Solanum lycopersicum: one gene and its partners. The protein of the gene in region 6 binds, or shares a complex with, the protein of the main gene of each other region. Links are inferred from orthologs where the notes say so. Each region holds a gene or a part of one and is shown on either strand. Other genes may lie near its edges.

Region 1 (3,334 bases), on a different chromosome or scaffold from region 6:
AAGGCTTATATTGGGGAGTTTGGAATTGCCTGTAGTCAAGCTATTCTGCTTATCAAGACTAAAAATGAGATCTCTTCATTAGCATTACTGGTGCTAGCAGTTGCTCAACAAAGAGTGGGTGAAACTTGCAGAGCTTAAATATCAATATTTCAGGCAGAGGGCAGAATTCCCATATTTCCTATACTGTCTCCTCTTTATATGTAAAGAGGAAGATTGTAAACATGTCAATTCTCTCAAACTCATGAGTCAAGACTATAAATCTAGGCTTACCTCCTGGAAATTCCTTAATTGAAGATCAATTTCTTCTTCAGATTTCATTTCTACCTTAGTACACAAGATTGGAGTATATAGCTAGCAGCTTTTCATTTGCCTAAGTGCTATCTCTACGCATAGATTAGTCAACTCACATTATAAGAGTACAAGAAACAAACTGGGACTACAAAATTTTCAACCGCAACAAGATTAAATGCATAGAAGGAATAACGTTAAACTTCTAATGCTAGCAACAAACGATTTCAAACATTTTCATTTCAACAGCAAATAAAAGCCAAAATACCCAGGATTCCAGGTTTATGAACGGTTTTTTGATTCATGATAACTTGCACCAAAAGATTATTTTAGAAAGCACAATGTGAGGACAGAACTCTACAAAGTGCTGAATGCAAAGAAATACAATTCTGCAGATCCAATGCCATCAAGATTTAAGGGATGCCCCTACTTTTCCAAGGTCCTCAAGTGCCTTTGAGATTTGCTCCTCGGTCAATCCCTCCAGTCTGATGCCCCTTTCAACTCCCAGGTCTATAAGCATTTAAAAAAGTAAAATCCATGAATAGAAGTTCAAACCACAGGAACAGGGTAAAGATCACTCAAAACAACTGACTACATCAGATTTGAAATATACTGACTTTAAAGAAAACTGAAAATTACACTTCATCAAATTTGTCCATAGGAGAACGTAGCAAACATTTGCAATGGTGTCAAATAACGGTGAATCCTTTGAATCATAGCAATGGCAAAATCAGTAGATACCATGCTTGGAACATCTCACCACACGCTTACTAAAAGCACGATCTTGAAACTAGAAACTCTGGTTTAGAACAAATGAGTGGATAGGCTTGACTGGAAACATCCCAAAGAGGAAAGGATATATAAAATTAGAACGGATTGAGTATCATTATGAGAAAACGAGATATTCTACATGCCTAACCACGGTAAGGTCCATTTGAAGAATGAAGAAAGTCTTACGTTAATGAGATGGGTGGTCTCATTATAAGACTTGAACAATCCTTCTCCCCTGGAACTAGAGGTCAGACCTAATTTTACAAGTCAATTCATTATACTCAAATCTTAATCACTCTCACTACATCTGTTACATCATCATAGAATATTTCTTTAGAGTCGCATATGACTCCTTCGTGCTTATTTGTTTTGATGTGAACTTCATTATGCAATTTAGGAATAAGATTTCTATCAATCCCTTACCTGATCAAATGTTAATAGGTTATTTACCAAAAGTCTGCTTATAAGTTTCAATTAAGCTGGACCTAGGAAAAATGAAAATGTAACAAAAACAATGAAAATGCTACCAGTCAAACGCAAAGGAACAATTTTTTTGTGTGTGAATTGAGTAATCAGAATTTCAATATGCAAAGCTGGGTAAGATTCTGCAGAGGTATAAGAAAACCGAAATAATTACCATATCTCGCCCAGAGCTGAGGCTCGATTGAACTGGCCTCACGAATCAAAATAGGTAATTTGGGGTTTTGGGTCTTGAGATCTCTGTAATTCTTCTCAATGAACGCCCTACATAAAAGATGAAACAAATTACTCGGAATTAACTTATCACTCTATCAATCAATCAATCAACTACATTTCATCGCAGTACTCATAAAAATTGTGAAAATACCTAGTCGCAGCACTTTCAGATGAGGATGGAGAGAAGAGGATGCGAAGCTCCTTCAGGTTCCGAGAGAGATTTGATCTCCACGCCATTGTTGCACAAATTCACCTTCAACTATCCCTAGGCAAGTATAATAAACCAAAAACGGTGATTTATGCTTTAGCGGTTGTACTCAAGAATTTTATTGACGAATTTAACCTTATACTAAGGGTGGGCTAGTTTTTTTGAATCTGGACTTCCGAGGGATAACCAGTCCATTGGGCCAAGTGTGGTTATTACAAAATAGACGTATATAGTGTGATTCATATATATTTGATATATATAACAAATTTTGTGAGGCTCTCTTTTCATTTAGATAGCAAAAATATACATATCTAGATCCAGTTGGGTCTTTATTTTATAATTAAAATTAGAAATCTAGAACTACATTCACTGGCTCAAAAGTGACCAGCCCACTAAAAACAAAGATCGTAGAAATTGAAAAGGGCAAGTCTACTAGGCAAACAACCCTCTTTTTCTGCAAATTTGGGAAGTCTCCATCAAATTTTATCTGAGACCAGGCCAAAGAAATGGTGAGTTTTATTCCCTCTAAACCCTGATTGTTCTTCTTATATTCCTCCTTTAACTTTCAAGAACTGATTTTTCACTATAAAAGTACCTCTTCTCAATCCTCTCTTTCTACTCTATTCTCTTTTCTCACTCTATTGTGTAAGGTACATTATTTATTATTACATTGAATATTTAAATAAAAAATTGATCATAACAATGGACTAAATGTGCGAAGGGCACATACGCTAACCTTTTATTTTTATAATCTTTTTTATGTAGTGACCTACAATTCCTATGATATTACTAATTATCATAATTACGAAATTACTACACTTAAAGCTATTATTTACGATTAGAAATTATTACGTTTAAATATAAGTTTGATCAATATTGTAGACTACATATGAGGCGCATGTATGCTATAACAAAAAATAATTAATAGTCAAATCTTCATAAGAGTCACATGATTAAACTGCAGCTTTATCTTTCATAAGTAAAGTGAATAAAAGAATATCAGAAACATTAATTATATTTATGTCAATTCAATCTAAAAGAGCGGCAAATTCAATATAAAAGAACCATTCTCAGTTAGTCTTTTTTCATTTAATCTCAACAGTAAATAATCTTTGATCTAGCAATTATTATGTTTAATTATAACTGCCATGTCCGCCAAATTATTATTTTTATATATATAAAAAAAGATTTAGTGAAACTTTTACAAGAGTGACATAGGTAAACTGCAATTCTATTTGTCACAAGTGAAGTGAATAGAAGAAGAAAAAAACATTAACTATATTTATGTCCATCTAATTATTGTTAATGGTAAGAAATTACTTTCAAGATTCAAGAATTGATTTTTTCAGTAAAAATGTATCTCTTCTCAAT
Region 2 (4,279 bases), on a different chromosome or scaffold from region 6:
GGGAGGGAGGATCCGCCAGAGAAAATGCAACACGATAGAAGAGTTCGCTCCGCCGCGTAAGATCCTCGAATCAAAATCAACCACGACTACTCTCTACGGTCCATTTTCGTTCTCTTCCTTGCCCGGGAAGGGGGATCAAAGAAAGATAGCTTGCTTCTCTCCTAGACGGAAGACGACTTATGTAGTGGTCGACCTTCCTACCAGAATGCTTCCTTGGTCGAAGAGCCCCTTTACCTCTAGCAATAGACAAAATAGATTGCTTTTATTTTTGTTATTTTTTTGGCATTAAACGTCCTTTTTTCTATCGCTGCTTCAAAATAAAAAAAAAACTGATCAACTTTTACTCTCGACTTATGAAAAATAAAATAATTTTCATAATCTTGATAAATAGAGTTATATAATACATGTTACTAATGAGAGGTAATAAAATATTTCGTGAAATTATTTAAAGTGCACGAAGTTGATTTGAATTTTTAATAATAAAAAAAAAAGATAAATTACCATATATTTAATGTTTAAATGTGTATTTAAGCAAAACTTATAGTTTATATTCAATTTTGTGAGTGATAATTTTATATATTTTATATTTATACAAATTTTAATTTTCCCATCTTATAATTTTATATTAAATAAAAAATACAATAATAAACTTTTAATTATAATTTTTATCTTAACACACTACACTCTTATAAAGGATAAAAAATCGATCTATTAAGCTGCCTTGGAATTTTGTGCTTTGCGATAGTATGGATAATATAACATTATTTTTATGGTCATAGCTCATAAGTAAAAGATCGCTGTTATTTAAAATTTAATTTCAATTATTCAAATAAGTGAACAAATTAAGTGAAGTTTTTGTCTCAATAATTAAATTAGTTCATATATGTGAGTTAATAGGACGGTTCAGTTGGTTATTTTTTAAGAAATTATATCATCTTAATTTTATTTTTACGATTAAATTGTCATCTCAATCATATTAGTTTCTTTTCAATATCGGTATGATTTAATTAATTTTCGTTTTTTTTCTTATTTTTCAAGTATCACCTCAAAATATATTGTTTTTAAATATTTTTCAGGTATATTTTTAAAGAAATACTTCACTTCTTCATCAGATGTCAAGAATATAAAATGTTGTTATCGTGGTGTTTGATCTTAAAAATTTAATAGAAATGCTTGCATGTTTTCTGTATCTAAGACGTAAGTTATATTTATATATTAAATTTAACATATTAGTAACATATAAAATATATTTACATACATGTGAGGTTATTAGATTCGAAAAATTATCACTTTTTTTAATTGAAAAGATCATTTGAATTATTTGAGACAATTATACACTAAAATAAAAGTCTACAATTATTAAAAAAGTGATAAAAATTCATTGGATTTAATTTTTTATATTCTTTTGATACCCACAGATTTTGATTTCCCCTTCCCAAATTTTTCTTTTAAATTAAATCTATACTTGAAATTAGGATCAAAATTAAATATTTTTTGTATCTCACCTGAGCACTATAGTTTTTATATAATTATTCGCCTAAATACATCAGAGTACAAAATACTCGTATGTTAGCAAAGTAATGTATGCGTGAATTTATACGAGACATACGCCACATCACCGTGAAAATAAAAATACAAAGGGCAAAGTAATATCTGGCTTCATCACTTCGGCCGGATTCTATCATCTCAGGCAAATGGCTAGCTCTCTCCGACGACTAGCGACGCATTCCTCTCAAGCCGCCTGGCGATCTTCTGTGACGCCGCTATGTAGACAATTTGCGTCAGAAGCGTTGGTCGAAATCAAGCCCGGAGAGATCGGTATGGTCTCTGGTATTCCAGATGAACATCTTCGTAGAAGGGTATAATTTCTTTTCTTTATGTCTCTTCGCTAATATCTATTATTTTGTCAGGTCATTTAGGTGTATGAAAAACTTCATTGTAGGTTACCAATTTATTAGGGCTTCTATAGCAGATCCATGGGTTCCGCTATTTAGGGTTAGCAAATGATTTGGGAAATGGATATGGAGGATCCATATAGTTAGAATCAATTGATTTGAAATTGATATAGTTGATTGATTGCTTTTCATTTTTGCCTTTGTGAATTTATGTTACCTCTAATCCGAAGACTATTCCTTTTTAGCCCTCCTTTTGTCTTCCTCGCTCCTATTCAATGATATAGAAGAGACCATAGCTGCTTAGACACTTGTGACAAGTAAAAAGTTGTAAGTTTTCATGGTAGGGAGTAGTTTCTGCTTGGCAAGTATTAAGTTGAACTTGGACCTTCTAGAGCTTGAATTGATAAGCCTTAATATCAGACCCCAGCTTGGATTAATGCAAACTTTTTCCCCACGGAGGTTTTTCATCCATTTCTGCACAAATTTAGTTATATAGATTTCTTATCAAATCTATAATCTGATCTATATCATCTATACGAAGCTGTTTACACCAAAAAAGTAGAGATAATTCACATTTATTTCTCTCTATGTTCGTGTCTATTATTTTATTTATCCCATATTTTTCCTTTCATGTGCATGGTTGGTTTGCCCTCTCTTTCAATTTTGGTTATATACAAATGTATTGGCTTGTTCAATTTCTTCAACTCTTATATTCTCAAATTTCTTGAAGTGTTTAAATGTGCCAAATGATCCTAATCTTTCTTTTAGTACATATATTTTCTGTCTCTTCATGTGGAAAATTGCTCTCAGTTAGTGGATTAGATCTTATGCACCATGCCCCTTTTGGTAGTTAATAATGTTTGCTCACCAGGTTGTGATTTTCTCTCCTGCTCGGACTGCTAGTCAACAAGGCTCTGGAAAAGTTGGCAGATGGAAAATCAATTTCATGTCTACCCAGAAGTATGTTTTTGGATATCTTCCTTTTCTTTTCATTATTAAGAAGTTAGCATGGTTCACCAATATTAGTCTATTTTTAGCCAGCACAAAATCCTGCAGGACTTTGTACAGTAATTACAATATACAAACTCATCTACCTTATCCTTCTGTCCTGTACTAAACAAGAAGAAACAAAGAGAAAACCTTAAAGAAAGTTTTGACAAGTATAGATTATAAGTTTTTTTTCCCGTTAAAAGACTATAATTTTAATTGTGCCTAGGTCTCAAAATACAATGTTTGACTATGAAATTTGGACCACAACAGGTTGTTTGGTTTGTGAAGGTTAAAGAGATTGTGAACTTATTTTCCTCTAGTGGTTCATATAATTATAGAGATCTGGACATTGGTGTCTTCCTTTTTATCTACTCCCTTTGAACCATTTCATATGTCACCGTTTGACTTGGCATGGTGCTTAAGAAAAAAAGGACTTTTGAAATTTGTGGTCTAAAACAATCTTAGAACATTTGTGTGACCTTAAATCATTTCATTAAGGTAAAAGGGGAATTTTAAATTAAATTGTTTCCAATTATAGTAAGGTGACACTCTTTTTGGGACGGACTTAAAAGTAAAGGGTGGAAAGGGTTCCACATAAAATGGGACTGGGGAGTATCATTTAATACAATGTTGGTGCATCTGATTATGGGGTTTTTTTGGTCGTGGAGGGAGGTAATTAGGAAGGTATATTGGTTTTGACAACGCCAAAACTCTCGGGTTCATAAAAAGAAATTACTAATAAGAGTCCAGAGTTCTTCCTATGCTGTAAAGATCAATTATTGATTAACTTTAAACTTCAATAGAGAATGAACCCCATTCATTGAATTCAGCTTAGCCAGACGGTGTTTCTTCGAGTTTACTTAAGTAGAAAAATTGCTGATTGTTGATGAAAAAAATGTATATTCATATCAGAAGATGCTGAGAGAGAAGCACTCATAATTTATGGCCATGGTAAAAGTTTTGTACTCTCCTCTATGCGAATCAAACTATTTTATCCTGGGTAATTTCATGGATGGTCATCCAACTAAAAATCTTAGTGCACCAAAGCTATAAAATTAATTTTTGTAATGGAAAATGACTCTTAACTATGCGCAAATATCACATTAAATAAAAAACAATAATAATGCTAGAATCTGGTCATAGAAAACACAAGTAGGTTGCTAAATTGTATGAAATTTCTATACAAGTACAACCACGTCAGCAACTCAACCCTTAGATAATATCTACGTGGTGCTACCTAAATGAACAATTTTTTTCCGATCCAACTTACTACCCGACATCTTTACTGTGTGAGCCATCATTTTTTAGGACAGATTTATATTCTTGTAAGTGGTGTCACGTGGATATTATGTAAGATTAGTTGCTGAAATGACAACCTACTTGTGTTTCCAGAC
Region 3 (4,210 bases), on a different chromosome or scaffold from region 6:
AAGGCCACAAACTGAGAATATCTCTAGTGTCTTAGTAGATTTTCCTTACAAGATACAATCAACCAAAGTTCCAGCCATCCAACACTAAAGATTAGCCAATTTCTACTCCTTAAGTTAGTTACTATCAGTCACAACGCACAATCATGGTCATGTGATTTATTGCATAACAGTTGAGCATAACAAGCACCAATCTCAACATCAGATCTTAGGTTTGGAAAGTAAATGAGACAAATAGTTCACAAAAGCGGTCATGTAGGACATGCTTTCAAGGCCACCAAATAGAATCAAGGTCAATATCAATAGATGTATGAAAAATGACTCACCATGCATTCCATCTCACCAACAGAAAATAAGCCATCCTTAGTTACTTCTGCATACATGAATAAGTCATGAACCAGAATAAGAACATGTTTCAACGATAGGATTATTAAGGCTATTTTATTTATTCTTTCATCAAGAAGGATTATTAGGACTATTAAAAAGGCTAATAAAATAATTGGAAAGACCTCCATAAAACACTGACCATTGCGCTTTACTCCCAGGTGCTTCAGTATAGCTTCTTCGATACCTCTTGAACCACGGATCATACAAGGTGTTGTGCCACAAACCAAAAGGTGATATTTTCCAACCTAAAGGGACAAGAAACTGAGTAAGCTATGTTAAGTAAAGATGGGTTCTAAATTTCCTGCACTTGCACAAGCCAAAGGTCAAGACAAACTACTCACTTTTGTCCTGTTGAACATCGTGTAGAAAGTTGCAACCTCATATACACGAATTGGCGCAACTTCAACAACCTTAGCCACCTTAAGCATTTAGAAGACTAGGTTAGGTGCTTTTGAATGCCAATTTGACATAGGCAGAAAAATCATATAACAAATAACCCCTAATAAGGAACGGCAACTTGCAGTGTGCTTACTTTGAGGGTATACAAAGGAAACAGGGGTAATGGTAATACAAAAATCAAGTTAGTACACATGCCAAATAACACAAATATAATTATGGCAAGAACTAAAGCTGAATTGGTTCTAGCAACCAAATGCTGATTAATTGTAAAGAAGATCACCAAATAATTTCAAAATTCAAGTGGTAACCGTTAATAATGCTGATCACCAGGACAAACTTTATAATAATGCAAATAGTAAGAATCAATCTGAACAGTGTCAACATACTGCATTCATCGCCGAAACAGGTAGCCACCCTCCATTTTGCTGCTGTGCAAGATCCAACAAAGGAATCACTGCAGATTGTTTATAGTTGGATGGGTAGAAAGACAGTATTTCTTTCACCTGCACATTGCATCAGAGGATTAAGTAGGAAAGATAGACGATAAAATTGTTAACGGAAGAACTACCAATTAAAGAGATGCATGGATTCAGTGTAAGTACACTACTATGGTAATCCTCTGAAATTGGATTATTGAAGCTAATCAACATTCAAAATCCATTTCAAAAATCTCTATGATGCAGGAAGCTTCGTATTATACTTTTCTTTGATTAGTAAATTCTAAAAATTAAGTTATGACCTCTGCTGAAGAATGCTATAGAAGAAGATGTTTCTAACTTTTACAATTTTGGAGTCAATGCATCAGAAGCGCTACTGAATAACATGATGAAAATAGGCCCAAGCAACAAACAGGGAATGTATTTGGCCTTGAACCACAACATTAATCACCCTACTATCTTTGAAAGTATTTTCCTTTTATTTGTGATTGTCTCTCCACATTTTATTCCTTCTCCAATCTTCTCTTTAGGTTGGATATGCAGAGAAGCGACTTGATCATTAGGTTCTTTTAAGAAAATAACTTTTCTCCCATTCATTTTCAAATGAGAAACTAAGTTTGAATGCTCATTTAGACAATCTTCTCATACAGATGTAGCTTGAATTTATGGTGTAAGGTAGATCATTTCAAAGGCTGTTATTCATTTCGCAGACAAGCTCAAAACTTGAGTCAGCCAAGATAATTTTTATGCAATTTTTCAACCAAGTTCAGATATTCAAAGCCTAGATAGGCACCTAAATAGCTTACACAGATAATAGTACAGATATAGATTAGAGCAGAATACATTTTCATCAAAACATACAAAGAAATTATATTCTGATTCAGAAAAGTTTGAAACATTCAGTAAAGGAGATGTCATAAATCCTGGTAACAAGAGCTCTCAATTTCCACACATAAATTGAAAGAAAAACAGAATAGCAATAGCAAAAATTCAAACTTTTGATGTAAATTCTAAAAAAATGTTGCAAGTGATATGACAAAGAATTAGCTCTTAAGTATTCTGGAGGATAATAAGCATTGCTAACCTTTTCCTTGTTTGCATTATTAAACTCCCAAGGAAGGTCCGTTTTGTTGTCCGGTGTATCAATGTGCTGCGTATAATAAAAATCCAAACAAATAAAAACATAAACACGCAATCGAATACTCAAATTTCGAATCTAAACTCCGAAATTACAATTAGATAACAACTCACATAGTTGAGTGCAGTGGAAAAAGATCGCGATGCCTGTAAAACAGAAAAAATATAATTGATTTAGACTAAAAGGAAGGAAGAACCAATCTATCAAAGTGAAATGGAAAACACATAAACGAGGATTAGACCTGAGTAGTTCGGCGGATGGACGTTCGGATCTCGTTCAGACGTTGCGCAGCGAGTCGACCGAACATTTTTAGTCTCCGGCGATTGCTCCGAGCAGACGGTGGTCGGAGAAAATGGAGATTTTGGGGAGGAAAGGGAGAAATCGGAAGTCTCACTATGAATGTTCTGCGTGCCACACACACGTTCCTTGTTCGCGTGTCCTGATGAAGACCTTAAACTGGCAGGCCCATTAGAATTTATGAGGACTATATTTGGGCTCTCGTATCGTTGGGCCACAATACGTTTGGCTACTTGGGCTTTGGTCAATGCGATGGGCAACTTTCACATGTAGCAAATATAAAATTTATATTTGTATGCTATAGCAAGGTTTGTATAATTGTGTTTTATAGCAAATATATATACGTATAATTCGCTATACATATACAATTGAAGCGAATTGTATAAAACAAGAAAGAAAGAGACTTGACGGAGAATTGTATAAAACGAATTGTATAATTATAAGTGTAAAGGACGATTATATACAATTTGAATTTGTATAAAACGAGGAAGGGAGAAAGACAAAAGAGACTTGGGCAGGGAATATACAATTAAATCGAATTGTATAAAACTAGAAAGATAAAAATTATATACAATTTGAATTTGTATAAAACGAGAAAGAGAGAGATACAAAAGAGACTTGGGCAGAAAAGTACTTTTATTGTATAGTTATAAGTGTATATGACAGAGATATATGTATTTGCATGTGTATAAACAATTTCTCTCGCTTTATACAATTAGAATCACGATTTATACAATTATATTGTATAAAGCGAGAGATGCGAGCGAAGGAAGCGAGCGATAGAGGGAGAGTGGCGAGCGAGAATATGAGGGAGAGAGGGACTGACAAACAGTTTGCTATGAAACACAAATAAATCAAACGGTAGCTACTACATTTATTTTATATTATTAGTTTGTCATTCTATACAATTATCCCAATTCATAGTGGGTTGGTAACTAGCTTGATTTGGGCATCATTTTACAAAGGAAAAATTACGCAACAAATCAAACTTATACTATTTAATTACTCATCATAGCTATAATTTGCTATAATTTCGAGTTTGTATAGCTAGTCATGTTTGTATATGTATAATTCGCCATAATATACAAATACACGTGTATAATATACATTATTTAACCTATATATATATATAATTCACCTCTCTCTCGCTCTCTTCCCTCCCTCCCTCGCTCGCCTCTCTCCTCCCTCTCCCGATCTCGCTTGCCCTATATACAAATGCATGTGTATAATATACAATTATATACAAATATAATTCACCTCTCCACTCTCTGTCCTCTCTCGCTCACCTCTCTCCCCCCTCTCCCAATCTCGCTCGCCTCTCTCCTCCCTCTCCCAATCTCGCTCACCTCTCTCCTCTCTCTCCCAGACTCGCTTGCCTCTCTCCTTCCTCTCCCAATCTCGCTCGCCTCTCTCCTCCCTCTCCCAGACTCGCTCGCCTCTCTCCTCCCTCTCTCAGACTCGCTTGCCATATATACAAAATACAAATACAAATATATAATATACAATTATCTAATCGATATACATATACAATTCACCTTTCTCCCACTCTTTTTCC
Region 4 (4,132 bases), on a different chromosome or scaffold from region 6:
TTCATCAGCATAGACTTTAGAAAACTGGACCATTTAACGTACTTCTTGGTGGGATGAGACTGAATGCCAAATTACAACTACGTCATATCAAGTATGCAATTGTGCTTAGACTCGCGTGGATGCAGCAGTGCCAAGGTCATACCAGCAAGGCTGGAGCTAAGCTAATACTATGAGAAGGAGTTGATCGGTTGGAATAACATGCAACATTGAGTTTGGCAATGTCTGTCACACTGCTCTAAGGCAGTATCTGATGTGTTGATGATCTTCTTACTGGACAGAGTACTTCTCAAGTCGCGAATATGGTGGATTCTGACGAACCAATTTTGAAAGCCTGAGAAGGATGAGGGAGTGTAAATAGCAGTTAGTTTGTATCAAAAAATGATTTAGGTTTTATGTACAAACGTTGACACCGAGTATAAGTAATTTTGTATATCTAGTTTTTATTTAAATGTCTTGCAAATTCTTCGTTTCTTTATTTATGCGTTTGAACCTAGTGTCTTAAGTGGAACTTCACATTCTTGTATTTCTTTCTTCCCCTAACGATACAGGAAAAAAAATATTTCGTAGTGCTAAGTCGGACTAAGCTTATTCCTTAGATATAGTTATTATTTAGCCATACTTTAATTTAATTGTGGCGGTAACAAACTATTTGTTGGTCGCCTTTCTCTAATCAAACTTTCGCTTCCTCTCGCTTTTTATACAAACACAAATGTATCAAATACGTTTGTGTTTGTATAAAGCGAGAGAAAAGTGTATGTATACATATATTTTTATTCTACTCTCCCAGATCTCGCTCGCCTCTCTCGCTTATACAAACAAAAACGAAAATATATAAATTGCATTTCTGTTTGTATAAATCAAAAAAAAAAATTGTATATACACACGCAAATACATATATCTTAGTCATATACACTTATAATTATACAATACAAATATTTCACTGCCCAATTTTCTTTTATCTTTCTCGTTTTATACACACGCAAATTATTCAATTGATCTTTTGTATACAATTGTTTCTTTTGTATATATATACCGAATTATATAACTGGTTTCTTTATATATATATATATAGCGAATTATATAACTATTTTTTTTGTATATATATAGCGAAATATACATATTTATGTTTACTGTGTAGCGCAATTAATTGATATAACATACTAATATGTGAAAGCTACTAAAAAAATCACTATGTTGCATAAATAAGTAGAATTTACTTATTTTTGGAGAGTTAATATAATTTGATGATAAAAATTATATATATAGAAACCGGAAAAAGGAAAAAAGAGAAAAGAGAAAAGAACTAGTAGTAACCAAGATCTGGTCCGAGTCGAGGGAGGCTAAATCGCATTTGTTGAATAGCAGTGGGAATTTTAGCGTTGGGGCAAAATATCAATGGCATCAAAACAAGGCATGACAATGGCTACCAATCTCCTCAAAACCCTAACCGGAGCATCTTCCATTGTCCGGTCCAACACCAGAAGTCTCAGCGGCGTTGCTAGCAGCGAGGTCATCACCTCTCATACAGAGAAATGGATGCAGGTTAGATTCTCCTTTTTCTCACCTCGTGCTCTATTTTTCTATTGATGTTTCTGGTCGGATTTGTACTCATCGTCATCGTTGCTGTGATGCCCTAGCTTATGGATCATCAAAAATTAAAATATGTATTAGCTACTCTATTCTTCTCTACGCTGTTTTTGTCGCACGGTTTTCGTTATTGATAATATATTCATCTTCTTTAAAGATGTGTGTGTTTGTTCTCCAGTGGACTGCTTCATAAGGAATTTCCAAATTTGGAGACACAAGGAGGATAGGATTAAAATCTCTTTTTAGAAACATATGTAGTTTGATACTCTAGGAAGTTTGGTTGTAGAAGAATCTGATAAGCAGAGCTGTTATTTTTTTGGCACAAATAACAAGGATAAAGGTATAAGTGAAGGTGAAAATTGATCTCTCAAGTGAGGATTAGGATTTTCCCACCTTTTAGGACGGACTTCATATCTTGTGCAAAGGGAATGAATGCTGAGTATTGCGTGTTATACCAAAAGTATGCAATTTGTTTATATCACATGGAGAAATTGCATTTGAAATAATGTTTTAAAATAGCTCAAGAGAACAATACCATGATTATTACTAAAAAATATCAGTATGTTTCATGGACTTTGAACAATACAAATATGGAAAAAGGGAACAGATATCCATGCATATCCTCAAATCTTTTCTTCTTTGCTGATATGAAAGGATTGGTGGGATTAAAAGACGAATTAAACATTAGTAAAAGCATATGAGTGTATGTAGAATTTAAGTCAGGATATGTGCTGGGCTGAAATCAGATCATCTCTTGGTACTTTCAAGATTGTGCCAAAGCAGAAATGCACCTAAGGAGTAGATGCTGCAAATAAGAACTGAACAAAATAACCTGTCAAGATTAAAGATCCAGTGAAAAAGAAATCATGGCACTAAGAGGTCACCCCACCCCACATCTGTGTTGCCGTTAAAACATAAGTGTGAAGAGAAAGTGGAATAGTGAAGCCATTGGAAGGTAGAACACACAATCAAAAGGAAAAACCGCAAATTGAGAAAACACTGACAACATTTTCATAGAAACTATTCAAAAAGGAAGTGCATCCCATATCTGATTTTCTACTTACTATTTTGGGTTGTTACAAATATGTTCACTTTCTTAAAAGAACACTTTTTGTCTAGACTTTCTGGTATTTCTTTGTTCTATTTTTTTTAGAAGGTAAGATATTTATGTGTGAATAAAATAAACTACTCAAAAATTCTGTAGACACTCATATTAATAGTGTGGAGTAGAAAAGAATTTCTAATCCTTTGTCTTCTCACAAGGATTCTTGAACATCAAAAACAGATACAAGGTCTTTTAAGTACTCTTGCTTACACACAAAAATAGAAAAGGACTAGACGCTCATTTTAGCTACTTGATGTTAAGGGATTTATTTTCAAAGCATCTTTGATTTCTCTCTTCCAAAGTATCCACCAAATACACGTTGGGACAACCTCATCACTCTTCCTGATCAGAAAGGCTGCCATCTCCGTTCCATCATGCGAGAACTAAAGGTATTCTCCTTAGCATAGTGCACATAAAACCCCTTAAGTTGATGAATATCTTCCATAACTGAACTGTCAACTCACAATGTAAAAAGAGATGATTGATTGCCTCAGCCTCCTCTCCATGTAAGTAACATCTAGAGCATAACTGGTATCCTCTCTTGGTAACGTTGGTTTGTGTCAAAAATGGCTCTTTTGTCAAAAGACATGTAAAGCTAGCAAATTTTTTTTGGAAGTTCCTCTATCTTCTTCCAAAGGCTAATATCCAATTTGATTATTTGAGAGGTTGAATATTTACAAGCTGACTTAACTCAGAACTTGCCTTGCCTATTCCCTTGCCAAATCATGTAGTCATCTGCAGTAGAGGTCTTTTGGAATTGTTCCAAAGTACTGTAAAACTTAGTTAATTTGCTAATCTCCCAATCATGTAGTAGTCTTCTGAAGCTTACGTTCCATCCTTTAGTTTCCCATACCTCTCTCTCTGTTGCTGCTTGTTGCTGACTCAGATTGTGAAGATCAGGAAAAAGTTGTTGTAGTGATCCTTGACCAATTACCTTCCCAAAAAGGTATATTCATTCCATTTCCTACTTTGAAGCTGGACTTGTTCATGAATTTCGACTAAAGATTTCTGATCGACCTCCAAAGACAGTTTATAAGGACCACTCACAGAATTGGTTGTCCACTGTCCTTCTATCCCATACTTTTCTTTGATTACATCTTTCCATAGTGATCCGTCTTCTGCAACAAATGTCAACCACCCCATCATTGAACTTTTATTCTTAACTCTCAGATTCTCAATTCTGATTCCCCCTTCCTTCTTAGTGGTAGTGAGAGTACTCCATTTGACCAAATGAGTTCTTTTTTTGTCATCGGTACCTTGCCAAAGGAAGTTCCTTCTTAGTGCATCTATTCTCTTCGCTGCATTTACAGGAACTGAAAATAAAGACATTATATAAGTAGGCATTGCATTTAGTACAGTGTTAATCCGAACTAGTCTGCCCCTCATAGATAGATATTGGCTCTTACAGTTTGCCGGCTTCCACGTCTCTCTAAAACACCA
Region 5 (3,993 bases), on a different chromosome or scaffold from region 6:
TGTCAAAAAATAAATGAAGGATCATACAAATTTTGTCTACCACATAACACTTGTGCCTCATTCGTCATAAAATTTTTAGTATATTCTCAAATGGTACTAGTGAAACAGAGGCATGGGTAAAGCATATAATTGAGCTGCCATCATTGTCAACAACAACATCTCTATTTACAACAATCATAAAGGAGAGATTGTATGGATTCCAGATAGTAATTAACACTTTGCACATGTTCTTATATGACAATGGATTGAAACAATGGGGAAAAGTTTGAGATACAAAGGAATTATGAACAACAATGTATCACGGATCCGTATAGTGTTTTTCTATATCTTGTAGAAAGTATTAGGCCAAGAGTTAATCTAGTATTGAACCACCTACGAGAAATATGGTGGACTCATTTATCCTTAATCAAGACGTGGTGGATTTAGGTAACGTTGATACATAGTCATTTTTTTTACGGAGCACTTTATTTTTAACGTAAAATTTTTCCGCACGAATTTAAATTTAGTTGGACTTCAATGTGAATATAAACACCGGTGAAAAATTAAAAATAAAATTAGTATCGAACAAGGATTGATTCTAAGCACATGTATGGTTTAATTTTATGTCTCTTGTTTAAAATACTACGTTATCATTACTCTTCTATTAACTTATTTTTCAATTCTACTACTATTTGTTGTTTTCTCTGCATTGGTCTTAGTTTTTTTTATATGTTTTAGCTTAGTCGAGTTTTTAGCAAAAACAACATCTTACTTTTTTACGATAATAATAAATTATTTACACACCACTCTTACGATTATTATTATCGCATTTAGAACAATTTATTATCAAATGTTCTAACACACGCGTGTGTATTGAGGATTCATTAGCACTAATGGCTTTGTTTTTAGATGATATTTAAATTTTGTCTATGTACACATCCAAACCTAACATTAACCAAAAGAGTAATTTTTCAAGCTATATCTGTTAACTTTTAAAATAGGGAAAGAATATAATATTTGGGTATATATTGGACATTAATGGCAGACGATAAATGTATATCACTGGTATACATGATTTTTGCATATTTCGATCATATTGGTACATTAATGGCAGACGATAAATCTTTTAACTTTGGTGTCACTAAGGCCCATTACGACATTTCCTGAACACTAAGGCCCATCATGATATTTCATACCCATCAAGCCCACTACGTGGACCGTCATGATTCACAAATCGCAACAGCTTCATTTTCCCTTATTTTTTTCTTATTTTTATGAGAAAGAGAGCTTCAATCTCACCCTAATCTGCTGGAGAATCAGCTGAATTTCGTCGATTAATCACATTTCTGCTTCAATATTCATGGTAAGTCCCTATCTTCGATCTGTAATTTTTTTGCGCCACCAAAATACAAATGAAAATTTGTTGTGAGAATACGCCTTACGTGCATTTTGATGCGTCCTCGGTTTGTTCGTTGATTACTCTTTTGGTACTCTTCATAGGATATTTATTGCAAATTTATATTTTCAGAGATGTGGCTTAATTTTAACTGATTCGAATGGCCATGGTATTCCTAGAAAGATGAATGATGAGGAACCCTAAATTTTATTTGGCTAGCACATGTGGGTATTGCTTTTGATCTTTTTTGATTCCTGGATAAGTTATTCAGGAGAGGTGTTGCTTCATTGATCTGCTTTCGTTGAAAAAAAATGGGTTATTTTTTTAGATTGGAGTATGTTATAAGTTATGCAAGTTCATATTTTGAACCTAACCTCCTTATCAGAACTCTTTAATTCATAGACTCCGTAGCTTCTTTTCTTTGTTTGTGTGTGTTTTCAACTTTGTAATTTAGAATGAGTTATATGTATATAGATTAATAAGGAGTTAGTGTAGTCTTCCGCTGTACTTTGAATTAAGCTCTTTCAAGGTAAGCTTCTTTTTTCAGGGAAAGAAAACCTTCATACTCTATTACTTCGGAAGGCTTATGTATTTATTTTAGAGAGGTAGATGTAAATTAAATTAGTACCTAAACTTTGAAAACAGTTAGTTAGAGATGTTTTGCGTAAGTGTTTCCTCCCCTCCCCCACCCAGACATCAAAAGGAGGGTATTCTTTTTGTTTCTTCCCCTCTTGTGCAATTCCCTTAGCATCAGGTATTAACAATCTATTTTGGGAATAATTTTTTTGGAAATGTTACTGTTACTCTCTCGATCTTATGTTTCTATTCAATCAACTCTGCTTCGGTGAGTTTAGCAAAGTGTACCCCATCTAAAGCCTGGAAAAGAGTTGTGTTGTGGTTGGTCTCCTAGAAAAAGAGAGTATTTTGCAATCATGATGCATAGACCCATCGCTTAGTGCAGTATAATACAATCTTTTACCTTTGTAATTATGCTTGCTCAGTCTCGCCTCTTATGAGGCTAAAATTACTGATGTGTGGCATGTTCTTCTAACAGGCACCTATAAAGGGCCTTCTTTCTCTACAACGAACTGCATTAGCTCAGCGTTCTAGTGAAAGATGGGGCCAATATGGTAGGTTATTTAGCACTCAGGCTGCATCAACTGCTAGCACTCCCCAACCTACACCCCCACCCCCACCTCCCGAGAGGACTCACTTTGGTGGCCTTAAAGATGAGGATCGTATTTTCACAAATCTCTACGGATTGCATGACCCTTACCTCAAAGGTGCCATGAAGCGAGGAGATTGGTACAGAACAAAAGATCTTGTCATCAAGGGTTCTGACTGGATCGTGAATGAAATGAAGAAATCTGGTCTTCGAGGACGTGGTGGTGCTGGTTTTCCATCTGGTCTCAAATGGTCCTTCATGCCAAAGACAACAGATGGCCGTCCTTCATATCTTGTCGTCAATGCTGATGAAAGTGAACCTGGAACCTGTAAAGACAGGGAAATCATGCGGCATGACCCACACAAGTTGTTGGAAGGCTGTCTGATTGCAGGAGTGGGGATGAGAGCTAGAGCTGCTTATATTTATATCAGGGGAGAGTATGTGAATGAAAGGTTGAGCCTTCAGAAGGCTAGACAAGAAGCCTATGAAGCTGGATTGTTGGGGAAAAATGCTTGTGGATCTGGTTATGATTTTGACGTATATATTCATTTTGGTGCTGGTGCCTATATTTGTGGTGAAGAGACAGCTCTTCTGGAGAGCCTTGAGGGCAAACAAGGCAAACCAAGATTGAAGCCTCCATTTCCAGCTAATGCAGGACTATATGGATGTCCAACAACTGTTACAAATGTTGAAACAGTAGCTGTTTCACCAACCATCTTAAGGCGTGGTCCAGAGTGGTTTGCTAGTTTTGGCCGGAAGAATAATGCCGGGACAAAGCTGTTTTGCATCTCAGGCCATGTTAACAAGCCCTGTACAGTTGAAGAGGAAATGAGTATTTCATTGAAGGAGCTGCTAGAGAGGCACTGTGGTGGTGTGCGTGGAGGATGGGACAATTTGCTTGCTGTTATACCAGGAGGTTCATCTGTTCCACTGCTTCCCAAGAACATATGTGAGGATGTACTTATGGATTTTGATGCACTCAAAGCTGTGCAGTCAGGGTTGGGAACTGCTGCTGTAATTGTCATGGACAAGTCAACTGATGTTGTAGATGCAATTGCAAGGCTCTCGTACTTCTACAAGCACGAGAGTTGTGGTCAATGTACACCATGTAGGGAAGGCACAGGATGGCTTTGGATGATCATGGAAAGAATGAAGGTTGGCAATGCAAAGTTGGAAGAGATTGACATGCTCCAAGAGGTGACAAAACAGATTGAAGGGCACACTATTTGTGCCTTGGGTGACGCTGCTGCTTGGCCAGTACAGGGTCTTATTAGGCACTTTAGACCAGAGCTAGAAAGGAGGATCAGGGAGCATGCAGAGAGGGAGCTACAACAGGCAGCTGCTGCTTGATTCTTTTATGAGGTTGGTTCTTAAACTTTTGTTACATTTACATTGTAGTGTTTGATACTTGATAGTAACCATGAATCATCATCTTAATAAAACATTCATCTAA
Region 6 (3,933 bases):
GCTTAAACCTAATATATATTTGCTATACTCAATCTCTCATACATGTTCTGAAGTTTTTTTAAAGCTGTATTAACAAAGAGGACAAATTTTGAGGTTTATCAGTGGAAAGGAATAACTCAAGAAGGCAGAAGCATGTCAGAGATATGAAAGAGCCAGTGGCAAATTGTTCTGTTGTAGGGTGATATAACCACAAAATATGAATGTTAACATCCCACAAATTATGCAGTATAGGAGTGAATTGGGGACGATAGACCGGCAATTTCTGCTAAGCTATTGGCACTTATAACATGCCAATGTCCACGAAAATCATCACTCCCATCTTATCAGGCTACCTCTTCATTTTATTTTACTTTTTGGGGGAGGGGGATAAGGTATTAGGCTCTCTCTTCTTCTGACTATTCTTAATTAGAAATCACATGCACAAGGGACGAGCATTCAAATGATTTCCTGCTCTAACTTGCAAGTTTTTCTCATGAGATTTGGGGAACATAAAAAGATACAATATTGACGGTTGGTTATGTTACATCAAAAAGTTGTGCATACGATTCAGATTCAGGATGCAGGTATGTAAATATCCAGTATACATCTGTACCCTTTTTACCCTTTTTTGCTATTTTTTAATCTATTATAAACCTGCAAAATGTAACTATACTTGAGTGACACCAGTATCAAGATACATCAATGCACATGAAGCATCCGTGTAGCATGGACGGTTCACGGTTGGCCTGCCACACCTTAAACAATATTTATCAAGTTTTGGTTTAAGGTTGATTTCTAAACTTCCATTTCCATGAGAAATTGAACCACACAAATTTTATGTTTAGCAAAAAGCACTAGGATAAGTAAGGATCAAACACAGACCTTGTACACTGGATGCACCGGGTCATCACAGTCTTCACCAATGGACCCAAATTCTTGTCAACCACAGATCTCTTCATTTCAGTGAAACGCCCGCGGTCGGATCCAAAGGCCATAGATTGATCCTGGAGATCACATTCTCCTCCCTGATCACAAATTGGGCAATCAAGTGGATGATTCATAAGCAAGAACTCCATAACTCCTTCACGAGCCTTTTTGGCAATAGGTGTATCTGTCTTGATCTTCATTCCTGTAAGCGTACCCTCCAGATAAATTTGCAAGACTCGACACTAATGTAAATCCAAGGAACAGATGGCAAACCAAAACAATGAAAAATGCCAATAATAACTCAACAATAACTACAAATAGGATCAGCCTTCATGAAAACTATAAAATGACAAGCAACAATGAAGTAAAGTGAAATGCACAACAGGTCAAGATGTTACTAACCCAAAGAAAATACCTACAGAATATTGAAAATACCAGCTTCCCATAATTCTTCAGAAAAGGGAAACTGAAGAAAATAGAAACTTGTGTTTTGACAAGACTCAATCAACATTTCTGAAGTACTGATACAATGCATGCAATATCACCACTCGGACTCTCGAGCAAACAAGCTCAAATGAACATATCATTAGCCCATAATATATGGTTTGGTTAACTACAGCTGTAACATGAAAAGACTTTACTTTTATGGTTTCTTTTTCCTAGGATCAAATGACCGGCCGTTTACTGTTGACTATTAATGCAGCTATAGAATTGCACACGCGGGGACTCTGTAGATCATGAGTTTGATGCATATACAAAGCCTCTTTTGCAGAAATGCAATGGTAATACTTCAGTTGGTTCTCAATTAATACAACTATATAATTGCACACACAGGGACACTGTAGATCATGAGTTTGATGCATATACACAGCCTCTTTTGCAGAAATGCAATGGGGATACTTCAGTTGGTTCTCCATTAATACAACTATAGATATGCACACATGGGGTTTCTGTAGTTCACGAGTTTGATGCATATACACAGCCTCTTTTGCAGAACTTCAGTTGGTTTTCAATTAAGACAAGCAGCACTAGTCCACTATTACTACTCAAAATAAAATCTTTCACAAGAACATGATTACCATTACCATCCTATATAGTCTACTTCACTTAAGCACCAGTGTTAATTTGGAAAGCTCTCTTTTTTACCATAGGGAGTCCAAATAGAACTGAATGGATATTGAGGATAGATAAAGCTAACGTTTTTGAGAGCTTAAATAAGCAATTAAAACATTAAATTGAGCATAAAAATACAAATACAAATCTAGATCAATAAACTATGGCGATACCTGGAAGTGCAGGCATGGCACAAGAAGCAACAGGCTTAGGAGATTTCTCAACCTCCACAAGACACATTCTGCAATTTCCAGCAATAGAAAGTCGGCTATGATAACAGAATCTCGGAATGTCAACTCCGGCAATTTCACAAGCCTGAAGCACAGTCATACCCTTAGGGATTTTGACCGGGTACCCATCAACGAAAACCTCAATAACATCATCCGGATTGGGTAAATGAACTCGAGCACCACCAACTGGGTTTCTCTTCGGAAGATCTGATGGTGCGTCCGCAGCTGCTGCTGCGGCGGCGGCAGCATCGGCGTTTTTGAGCTCCGGCGTGGAGACGATGGTGCGGGTAGAGTTTCGAATGATTCTAGAAGATCGTAGGGCTCGAGAAGCGAGTAACCCTAATCCCATTGCGATTGATCTTCAGTTATTCGAATGGAGAAATGGAGAGAGTAAATTTGTTTTTGGAGTGTGGAGAGCAGATGTGCTACGTTTTTGTTTCCATGGAGCAGGGAAATTTGATTGGGGATGGAGTTCGGGTCGGGTTATGAGATTTGGGCTTGAAGTAAATGGGCCTTTTAGTTTTTGGGCGTTCAAATATACCCGAATCTCCAAAATGAGTGAACTTTTAATTTCGACTTATTTACATCAACGTCATAATCAAAATCAGAATTTGTTGAACTTGGAGTTTCGCTCATAGGATACGTAACGAATATTATTGTAAATCACTTGATTTTAAGAACGGTGCTTATGTGATTGATGTATACTCGTGGCTAATGTATAGGTTTGGTAAGTTTAGTCTATGATATGAAAAAATTCAGAGTTTGAGGTAACAGACTTAGGGACATATAAGTACAACAACAATATACACAAATCTAATCCCATAAATGAATATAATGAACGTAAATCTTATCTCTACCTCATATAAGAAGATATGAAGAGATATAGATATTCGACTTAAAAGGAAGAATATGCAAAGAAAGTGAATGATGTAAATGACGTGTTAGAAACTTCAAATATCTCAAAGCTTGTAATTTTTACACATCAATATCGTTCACAACGGCGATGACAATTCTTCGCCCTGCAGAGCATTTTCCGTCTGGCGTTTTAAGGAGTAATAACAGCGAAAGAATTACATTTTCCTTCTCGAGGATGTGTGTTTACAAGCAATCAGAATGCTATTGCACCAAAAATAAGTTTTTATCAAGAATTTCTAAGCTAATCTCGTTTTAGGGCCTTTGTAATGAAGGCTTTTGAAATTACTATGACAATGTATGACAAAACTGTGACAGTTATACCTAACAACAGAACCAACAGGTCAAATCCACTGTCCTGGACTGTGTAGACACGAAGCCTTATTCTATCCCAGTTACTCTCTGTCCAAACAGGGTCAGCTTCTTCCATGGTATCGGAGGAATTATGAGGTAACACCTCCCAAGTTTCGTACTCGTACTTCAATCGAGTTGAGTATGCTGGGACATACCTGTTACATGTGATGGATAAGTTCAAAGCAAGAGCATGTGTAGCACTAAACAGCTACAGAGTATCAAGCAACATAAGTGGTGTAAGTTTATATTACAAGGATAGACTGAAATCCAGTTACTGATCGACAGAAGCATATACACTGAAAGTCAACAATCTTCATAAGCTTTTTTTTTTTAGGATACTCCAGAGTTACCCTTTGCCTTGTTTTGTTGGAACGAATTGGTAAGCTGACTTAACCGTCTATTTTTATCAGCTAATGGA
Region 7 (4,248 bases), on a different chromosome or scaffold from region 6:
GCGTGGAGGGTATTAAAGTTGGGGGCGGGCTAGGGCATTGGAAGGAAGGATGTGTTTAATAGAATTTAGAGTGCAATAAATAATAGATGTGATCATACCAGCACTAATGCACCGGATCCCATCAGAACTCTGAAGAGAAGCGTGCTTGGGCAAGAGTAGTACTAGGTTAGGTGACCCCTTGAGAAGTCCTCATGTTGCATCCCTCCTTTTTGTCGAAATTTGATCTTGCAATTGAAAAAATATACTTATTTATTTATTTTTGCAGAAAATACGTTCGGATTGAGACGTCATTTGGATATGGGTTAGGGGCGTTAAGGATGGGCGTGAGGGGCGGCGTCATGCGTCGGTGCGTGGAGGATTTTAAAGTAGGGGGCGAGCTAGGGCGTCGGGGATGAAGGCTATATTTAATTGAATTTAGAGTTCAATGAATGATGGATGCGATCATACCAACACTAACGCACCGGGTCCCATCAGAACTCCTAACTTAAGCGTGCTTGAACGAGAGTAGTATTATGATGGGTGACCCCCTCCGAAGTCCTTGTGTTGCATCCCTCCTTTTTTTCAAAATCGGTCGTGTAATTGAAAAATATTTTTATTTATTTATTTTTGCAGATACGACGTTCGGATTGAGACGTCATTAGGATATGGGATGGGGGCGTTGAGGATGAGTGTGACGGGCGGCGTCATGCATCGGTGCGTGGAGGGTTTTAAAGTATGGGGCAGGCTAGGGCGTAGGGATAAATGATATGTTTAATAGATTTTTGAGTGCAATGAATGATGGATAAGATTATACCTGAACTACGACTTGTCAACATTGAACGCTAATATTTTCTTAAAAGAAAACAATGACCAATGGAGAATTGGGGATTGGGGAATGTCGAATCGGGAATGGGAATCGAGATGGGACAGTTGGCAGGGTGCAGGCGGGTAGCAGGCTTTTCAGCCTTTCAGAAAAGTTGTCAACTCTGACAGTGGGAAATAACTTTTAAAAATATAAATTAATTAATAAAAAATAATTAATCAAAATCAAACTGAAATACGATCGAATTAGAATGGAATCGGAATAAACCGATATAAACTAGTACTGGTACACCAGTATGTGATACCGCTCCGTTTCATATACCGGTTCAAGGTGTCCCGTTCCGTCCTGAAGATCACCGGATCGGAACGAACCGGAATGGTATCGAAACGGTACCGGACCAATACTAGTACAACCCGATCCGGTGCCAATCTTAATAGCAATTATCAAGTTGTGCAACTTATTACATCGTCTAAGTGAATATTTCAAATATAAAGTTAATTTTTGATGAGTAGAATATCTCCCACAATTTAGTTTTTATTAAAACGCCCAGAAAGGGCAACTACGAAATATTTTCTATTTCAGGAGGTCACTACGAAATATGGAAATTTTTTGTCATTAAATAAGTTTGGTTATAAAAATTTCAAATAAGGTACGTGAATGTAATATCTAAAACTAAAAGAGAAGTAAATATTATAAGGCCAACAAAAAGGGAGGTTTTTCGAAATTATATCAAACTATAATACCAAAGTATATAGCAAACTACCCTTTGCTTCTCAAGCCTTTAACTCAATATAGTTTTGCTATTTCTTACTTGTTCAGTGAAGGCAGAAAGAAATCATGTCCCAAATACTGAAGCGTCTCAAGGTGCCACCAAACTCCGCCAGTTTAGAAGAAGCTCGCACTCGGACCTTTGAATTCTTCCGTATGTGCTGTAGATCCATCCCTCATGTAATGGAAATCTACAACTTGCACGATGTCGTTACACCATCCCAACTCCGTTCTGCCGCCGCCGCCGAAGTTCGCAAGAATGCCAATATTACTAACCCTAAGGTATCAATCTGAAATATAACCTCTTCCTTTTCGGATTTGAAATCTAATTTGCTTTTGAATTAGGCGATATCCGATTCAATTGGAAAAAATCTTGTTTGTTGTGAATTGGGGTATTCAAAATTGAATGCTTTCTTTTAGTAATCTGATTGGAAATTACGGTGGAGCAGAGTTTGATTAGATTAGATTGTGCGATAATATTTTTGTTCTGGAAAGAGAAAGACCAAGAAAAAATTGAATCCGAGTACAAAAGTTTTTTAGTTTACTTCTGATTTACTGTGGCATTTTGTTTAACATTTGCAATTCGTGAGAAAGCTATGACCTTTCAGAACCTCCATGAGGTAGTGGTATGGCTGTATGGTACACTGTACCCTAGCCAAACTCCACTTGTAGGATTTCACGGGCTATGTTGATGTTGTTGATTTGTGTTGATTCATGGAGAGGGGAGGGGTGGGGTGTGAGGGAAGAGGATTTAGGAATAGGCGCTGGAAGATGGATTTTTTGCTGGACTTTTATTCCACCGTTATGATACAATTGAAATGGACATTCCTCTTAACATCTTTCTTGAAGAGAGATTAGATTTACAGCGTTTTGAGAAAAAAATCATTTCTCTTTGCAGTTGTGCGTTTTATTGAATAGGAATTTCCAAAATGAGATGCTAATGCTCAATATTTGAAGTTGAGAATTAAGAATCGTGCTAATCTGAATTAACTTTATTTTAAAGTTGGTCTTGAATTGGATTCAAATATAGGATTTAAATCTTAGTCTTTTGTTTAACTGATAGACAGAGGATTCAAGTGCAATTAAGTAGTTGTGCTGACACGCCATAAATTTGGTGATTATTCATTTGGATCAAAATCATGTTTGAGTTTTTCTTACACTTATTACTGCTACATCAGGTTTTGGTGAAATTAATTTGTTTAGATGGCTGATGACGTCTAAATTAGTTAGTTGGAGATACTAATTGTCGAATTACTTGAACTTTATTATTTAATATCATGAGATTTAGTTATTTCCAGCTACTTATGATGGACCAAGGTCATATATGGGCTTGGACTGATGTTAGAACTGAAAAACTGTGGATTAGGGACTGGTTTAAGGTCTTGAAACAGTAAAATTTGCCACCTTACATTGAATGTGTCTACATCTGTTCTTCCTTGTAAGAAGACATTTTTTTGGGTAACTATGTGTATAGGGAAAAATCTGTGCATGTGCAAAAACCTAAGAGCCAAATAACAAAAGGCTTTAGAAAAACTTAATCAAAACTGCCTATTTAACCTCTCATCTACTACATCTTATTACAGCCTCACTCAACTAGGATAATAGTTCAACTGTTAGCTGTGTTGCTTGTTTTGCACATTGGGCTCCTCTGATATGAACCTCCTGCTCGATCTTTCGACTGACCTGCTGCTTTGTACTCCTCTTTCCTTGGAATTGTCTCTGGTTTCCTTCTTTTCATGTATGATAAACACATGCCCCCAATACCAACATATTGACTTCTGCTTTGACCTTTTCTCTCTTAGCTTAAGTAACGGCCCATCCAATCTCCTGTTGCCAACCTATTGGATGCCTTTCAATGTTCTCTGCCAGTAGTAAGGAAACATATACTCAGTAGAAAAATGATTCATGTTTAGCAAAAGTAATTGCTGGCCTACAAAATAAGCTTAGGCTATTTTGTTGTTTAGATTAAGACCTTGTTAATAAGCCAACAGACAAGTTCCGGCTACTCTTTGTGCATCCTCGTGATGCCATTCTGAGTGGTATCTTCTAATCAACAACTCTTTTATTATTACTTGCCTCCCAGGGCTTGGTTCATTCTTGCTTTATGATTGTATTGCATCTCTTGATTTTAGTATTTTATCATCTCTTTGGGAAGTGGATACAAGCAAAATAGCAGGCAATGTTATATAATGATCATTCTCAACCAATGATAAAGAATCTATTCTTCCTAGGGGACGAGAAGAGTCAAATATTAAGGCAGCGTTTGCTTCAAAAATATAATGAAGAGTTCTTGCAGAAAACTTTCTAATGTTTTGCAAGAACTGTTTCTCAACCAAACAGTCTGTCATGGATTTACTTCGAGAGGTTCTCTTTTTCCCAGGTTAAAGATGTTTTTATTAAAAAAAAATTCAGAGGCATTTGGATATAAGAAGTTCCCTAAACAATTGAAGAAGTTTTTGGTGGAAGTGTTTAAAAGGTTTTTCCAAAAGGAGTTCCATTTTTTTGTTTGAAGAGTCTAAATGCACTTTTTAAACTAAAAACACTTCTGCTCTTGAGAAGAGCCGACAAAAGATGTATTGTTGAAGACAAAATAACTTTTCTCCCAGGCACATTCCCCAACACTTGTCTCTCCTACTTTTCTAGGATGGGAGAACCCTCTTTCCGGCCATCTTCAGCCT

Evidence for each region.
Region 1: the proteins of NADH dehydrogenase [ubiquinone] iron-sulfur protein 1, mitochondrial (region 6) and NADH dehydrogenase [ubiquinone] 1 alpha subcomplex subunit 2 are in contact, whole or in part, in a cryo-EM structure (PDB 8BED), measured with the Arabidopsis thaliana proteins. The link is inferred for Solanum lycopersicum from reciprocal best matches to the Arabidopsis thaliana genes EMB1467 and AT5G47890. Residues at the interface, in NP_568550.1 of Arabidopsis thaliana: Lys397, Asn401, Arg402, Met403, Gly404, Asp406, Asp418, Ala419, Asp420, Leu421, Arg422, Tyr425, Leu563, Asp564, Gly566, Gln570, Arg679, Lys681, Ser682, Val683, Pro685, Asn686, His689, Glu692, Glu694, Pro695, Ala696, Ala697, Phe698, Ser701; in NP_199600.1 of Arabidopsis thaliana: Lys12, Glu13, Arg15, Leu17, Leu18, Gln20, Arg29, Val32, Glu33, Tyr36, Lys37, Lys40, Ser41, Lys45, Leu46, Pro47, Ile48, Leu49, Ile50, Arg51, Glu52, Cys53, Ser54, Val56, Trp61, Arg63, Met66, Gly67, Glu69.
Region 2: the proteins of NADH dehydrogenase [ubiquinone] iron-sulfur protein 1, mitochondrial (region 6) and NADH dehydrogenase [ubiquinone] iron-sulfur protein 4, mitochondrial are in contact, whole or in part, in a cryo-EM structure (PDB 7AR8), measured with the Arabidopsis thaliana proteins. The link is inferred for Solanum lycopersicum from reciprocal best matches to the Arabidopsis thaliana genes EMB1467 and FRO1. Residues at the interface, in NP_568550.1 of Arabidopsis thaliana: Gly61, Gly62, Ala63, Arg64, Val65, His66, Lys87, Gly88, Phe89, Thr90, Gln93, Glu96, Val97, Asp101, Arg104, Tyr107, His108, Ser109, Leu111, Ser112, Ile113, Ala135, Gln175, Glu178, Cys179, Asp180, Asp183, Asp266, Lys288, Ala289; in NP_201560.1 of Arabidopsis thaliana: Ile55, Tyr57, Ser58, Pro59, Ala60, Arg61, Thr62, Ala63, Thr64, Gln65, Ser66, Ser68, Leu71, Val79, Thr81, Leu82, Lys83, Glu85, Thr92, Asp103, Lys126, Lys128, Lys129, Asn131, Thr132, Pro133, Leu134, Leu135, Lys136, Val137.
Region 3: the proteins of NADH dehydrogenase [ubiquinone] iron-sulfur protein 1, mitochondrial (region 6) and NADH dehydrogenase [ubiquinone] flavoprotein 2, mitochondrial are in contact, whole or in part, in a cryo-EM structure (PDB 8BED), measured with the Arabidopsis thaliana proteins. The link is inferred for Solanum lycopersicum from reciprocal best matches to the Arabidopsis thaliana genes EMB1467 and AT4G02580. Residues at the interface, in NP_568550.1 of Arabidopsis thaliana: Val203, Lys205, Val225, Ser229, Gln235, Asp236, Leu237, Gly238, Ile239, Leu240, Gly241, Arg242, Gly245, Glu246, Glu247, Gly249, Thr250, Tyr251, Val252, Glu253; in NP_567244.1 of Arabidopsis thaliana: Asn33, Tyr34, His35, Leu36, Val90, Met93, Ala103, Ile105, Arg106, Tyr108, Glu109, Thr112, Phe113, Tyr114, Ser115, Arg119.
Region 4: the proteins of NADH dehydrogenase [ubiquinone] iron-sulfur protein 1, mitochondrial (region 6) and NADH-ubiquinone oxidoreductase-related protein are in contact, whole or in part, in a cryo-EM structure (PDB 8BED), measured with the Arabidopsis thaliana proteins. The link is inferred for Solanum lycopersicum from reciprocal best matches to the Arabidopsis thaliana genes EMB1467 and AT3G03070. Residues at the interface, in NP_568550.1 of Arabidopsis thaliana: Pro167, Leu168, Asp169, Cys170, Pro171, Ile172, Met198, Lys199, Arg200, Ser201, Val202, Val203, Asp204, Val214; in NP_566191.1 of Arabidopsis thaliana: Ile69, Ala71, Pro83, Ile84, Glu85, Phe86, Ile87, Cys88, Asp90, Leu91, Lys98, Tyr99.
Region 5: the proteins of NADH dehydrogenase [ubiquinone] iron-sulfur protein 1, mitochondrial (region 6) and NADH dehydrogenase [ubiquinone] flavoprotein 1, mitochondrial are in contact, whole or in part, in a cryo-EM structure (PDB 7AQR), measured with the Arabidopsis thaliana proteins. The link is inferred for Solanum lycopersicum from reciprocal best matches to the Arabidopsis thaliana genes EMB1467 and CI51. Residues at the interface, in NP_568550.1 of Arabidopsis thaliana: Gly115, Asn116, Cys117, Arg118, Leu121, Lys129, Pro130, Ala135, Met136, Pro137, Lys153, Ala154, Glu156, Gly157, Val158, Glu160, Phe161, Leu162, Met164, Asn165, Arg194, Phe195, Glu197, Met198, Arg200, Ile219, Gln220, Ile239, Gly241, Arg242; in NP_196470.1 of Arabidopsis thaliana: Gly225, Ala226, Gln243, Lys245, Leu248, Pro250, His399, Glu400, Ser401, Cys402, Gly403, Gln404, Cys405, Thr406, Pro407, Arg409, Glu410, Gly411, Trp414, Met417, Ile418, Arg421, Met434, Glu437, Val438, Lys440, Gln441, Ile442, Gly444, His445.
Region 7: the proteins of NADH dehydrogenase [ubiquinone] iron-sulfur protein 1, mitochondrial (region 6) and NADH dehydrogenase [ubiquinone] 1 alpha subcomplex subunit 6 are in contact, whole or in part, in a cryo-EM structure (PDB 8BED), measured with the Arabidopsis thaliana proteins. The link is inferred for Solanum lycopersicum from reciprocal best matches to the Arabidopsis thaliana genes EMB1467 and AT3G12260. Residues at the interface, in NP_568550.1 of Arabidopsis thaliana: Trp361, Arg362, Leu365, Ser621, Pro645, Thr646, Ala650, Arg651, Asp652, Trp654, Lys655, Ile656, Arg658, Ala659, Glu662, Val663, Asn671; in NP_566416.1 of Arabidopsis thaliana: Lys120, Thr121, Phe123, Leu124, Phe127, Tyr128, Thr129, Ser130, Asn131, Tyr132, Phe133.

The regions. Positions count from the first base shown.
Region 1 is NC_090805.1:49,614,993-49,618,326, forward strand, and holds NADH dehydrogenase [ubiquinone] 1 alpha subcomplex subunit 2, read right to left. Parts: upstream 2,195-3,334; 5' UTR 1,993-2,194; coding exon 1,907-1,992; intron 1,804-1,906; coding exon 1,697-1,803; intron 799-1,696; coding exon 695-798; 3' UTR 501-694; downstream 1-500. Other genes in the region: protein yippee-like At3g08990, read left to right, coding at 2,470-2,472. UniProt on the Arabidopsis thaliana protein: Accessory subunit of the mitochondrial membrane respiratory chain NADH dehydrogenase (Complex I), that is believed not to be involved in catalysis. Complex I functions in the transfer of electrons from NADH to the respiratory chain.
Region 2 is NC_090801.1:69,719,192-69,723,470, reverse strand, and holds the start of NADH dehydrogenase [ubiquinone] iron-sulfur protein 4, mitochondrial, read left to right. Parts: upstream 1-1,479; 5' UTR 1,480-1,694; coding exon 1,695-1,859; intron 1,860-2,766; coding exon 2,767-2,855; intron 2,856-4,279.
Region 3 is NC_090808.1:60,905,153-60,909,362, forward strand, and holds the start of NADH dehydrogenase [ubiquinone] flavoprotein 2, mitochondrial, read right to left. Parts: upstream 2,801-4,210; 5' UTR 2,666-2,800; coding exon 2,600-2,665; intron 2,505-2,599; coding exon 2,472-2,504; intron 2,371-2,471; coding exon 2,305-2,370; intron 1,287-2,304; coding exon 1,170-1,286; intron 804-1,169; coding exon 726-803; intron 630-725; coding exon 524-629; intron 371-523; coding exon 324-370; intron 1-323. UniProt on the Arabidopsis thaliana protein: Core subunit of the mitochondrial membrane respiratory chain NADH dehydrogenase (Complex I) that is believed to belong to the minimal assembly required for catalysis. Complex I functions in the transfer of electrons from NADH to the respiratory chain.
Region 4 is NC_090802.1:56,164,211-56,168,342, forward strand, and holds the start of NADH-ubiquinone oxidoreductase-related protein, read left to right. Parts: upstream 1-1,332; 5' UTR 1,333-1,395; coding exon 1,396-1,542; intron 1,543-4,132. UniProt on the Arabidopsis thaliana protein: Accessory subunit of the mitochondrial membrane respiratory chain NADH dehydrogenase (Complex I), that is believed not to be involved in catalysis. Complex I functions in the transfer of electrons from NADH to the respiratory chain.
Region 5 is NC_090801.1:65,985,258-65,989,250, forward strand, and holds the start of NADH dehydrogenase [ubiquinone] flavoprotein 1, mitochondrial, read left to right. Parts: upstream 1-1,193; 5' UTR 1,194-1,339; coding exon 1,340-1,342; intron 1,343-2,429; coding exon 2,430-3,890; 3' UTR 3,891-3,902; intron 3,903-3,993. UniProt on the Arabidopsis thaliana protein: Core subunit of the mitochondrial membrane respiratory chain NADH dehydrogenase (Complex I) that is believed to belong to the minimal assembly required for catalysis. Complex I functions in the transfer of electrons from NADH to the respiratory chain.
Region 6 is NC_090810.1:5,106,024-5,109,956, forward strand, and holds the start of NADH dehydrogenase [ubiquinone] iron-sulfur protein 1, mitochondrial, read right to left. Parts: upstream 2,801-3,933; 5' UTR 2,599-2,800; coding exon 2,193-2,598; intron 1,109-2,192; coding exon 862-1,108; intron 1-861. Other genes in the region: nicastrin, read right to left, coding at 3,406-3,670.
Region 7 is NC_090800.1:36,265,460-36,269,707, reverse strand, and holds the start of NADH dehydrogenase [ubiquinone] 1 alpha subcomplex subunit 6, read left to right. Parts: upstream 1-1,448; 5' UTR 1,449-1,639; coding exon 1,640-1,852; intron 1,853-4,248. UniProt on the Arabidopsis thaliana protein: Accessory subunit of the mitochondrial membrane respiratory chain NADH dehydrogenase (Complex I), that is believed to be not involved in catalysis. Complex I functions in the transfer of electrons from NADH to the respiratory chain.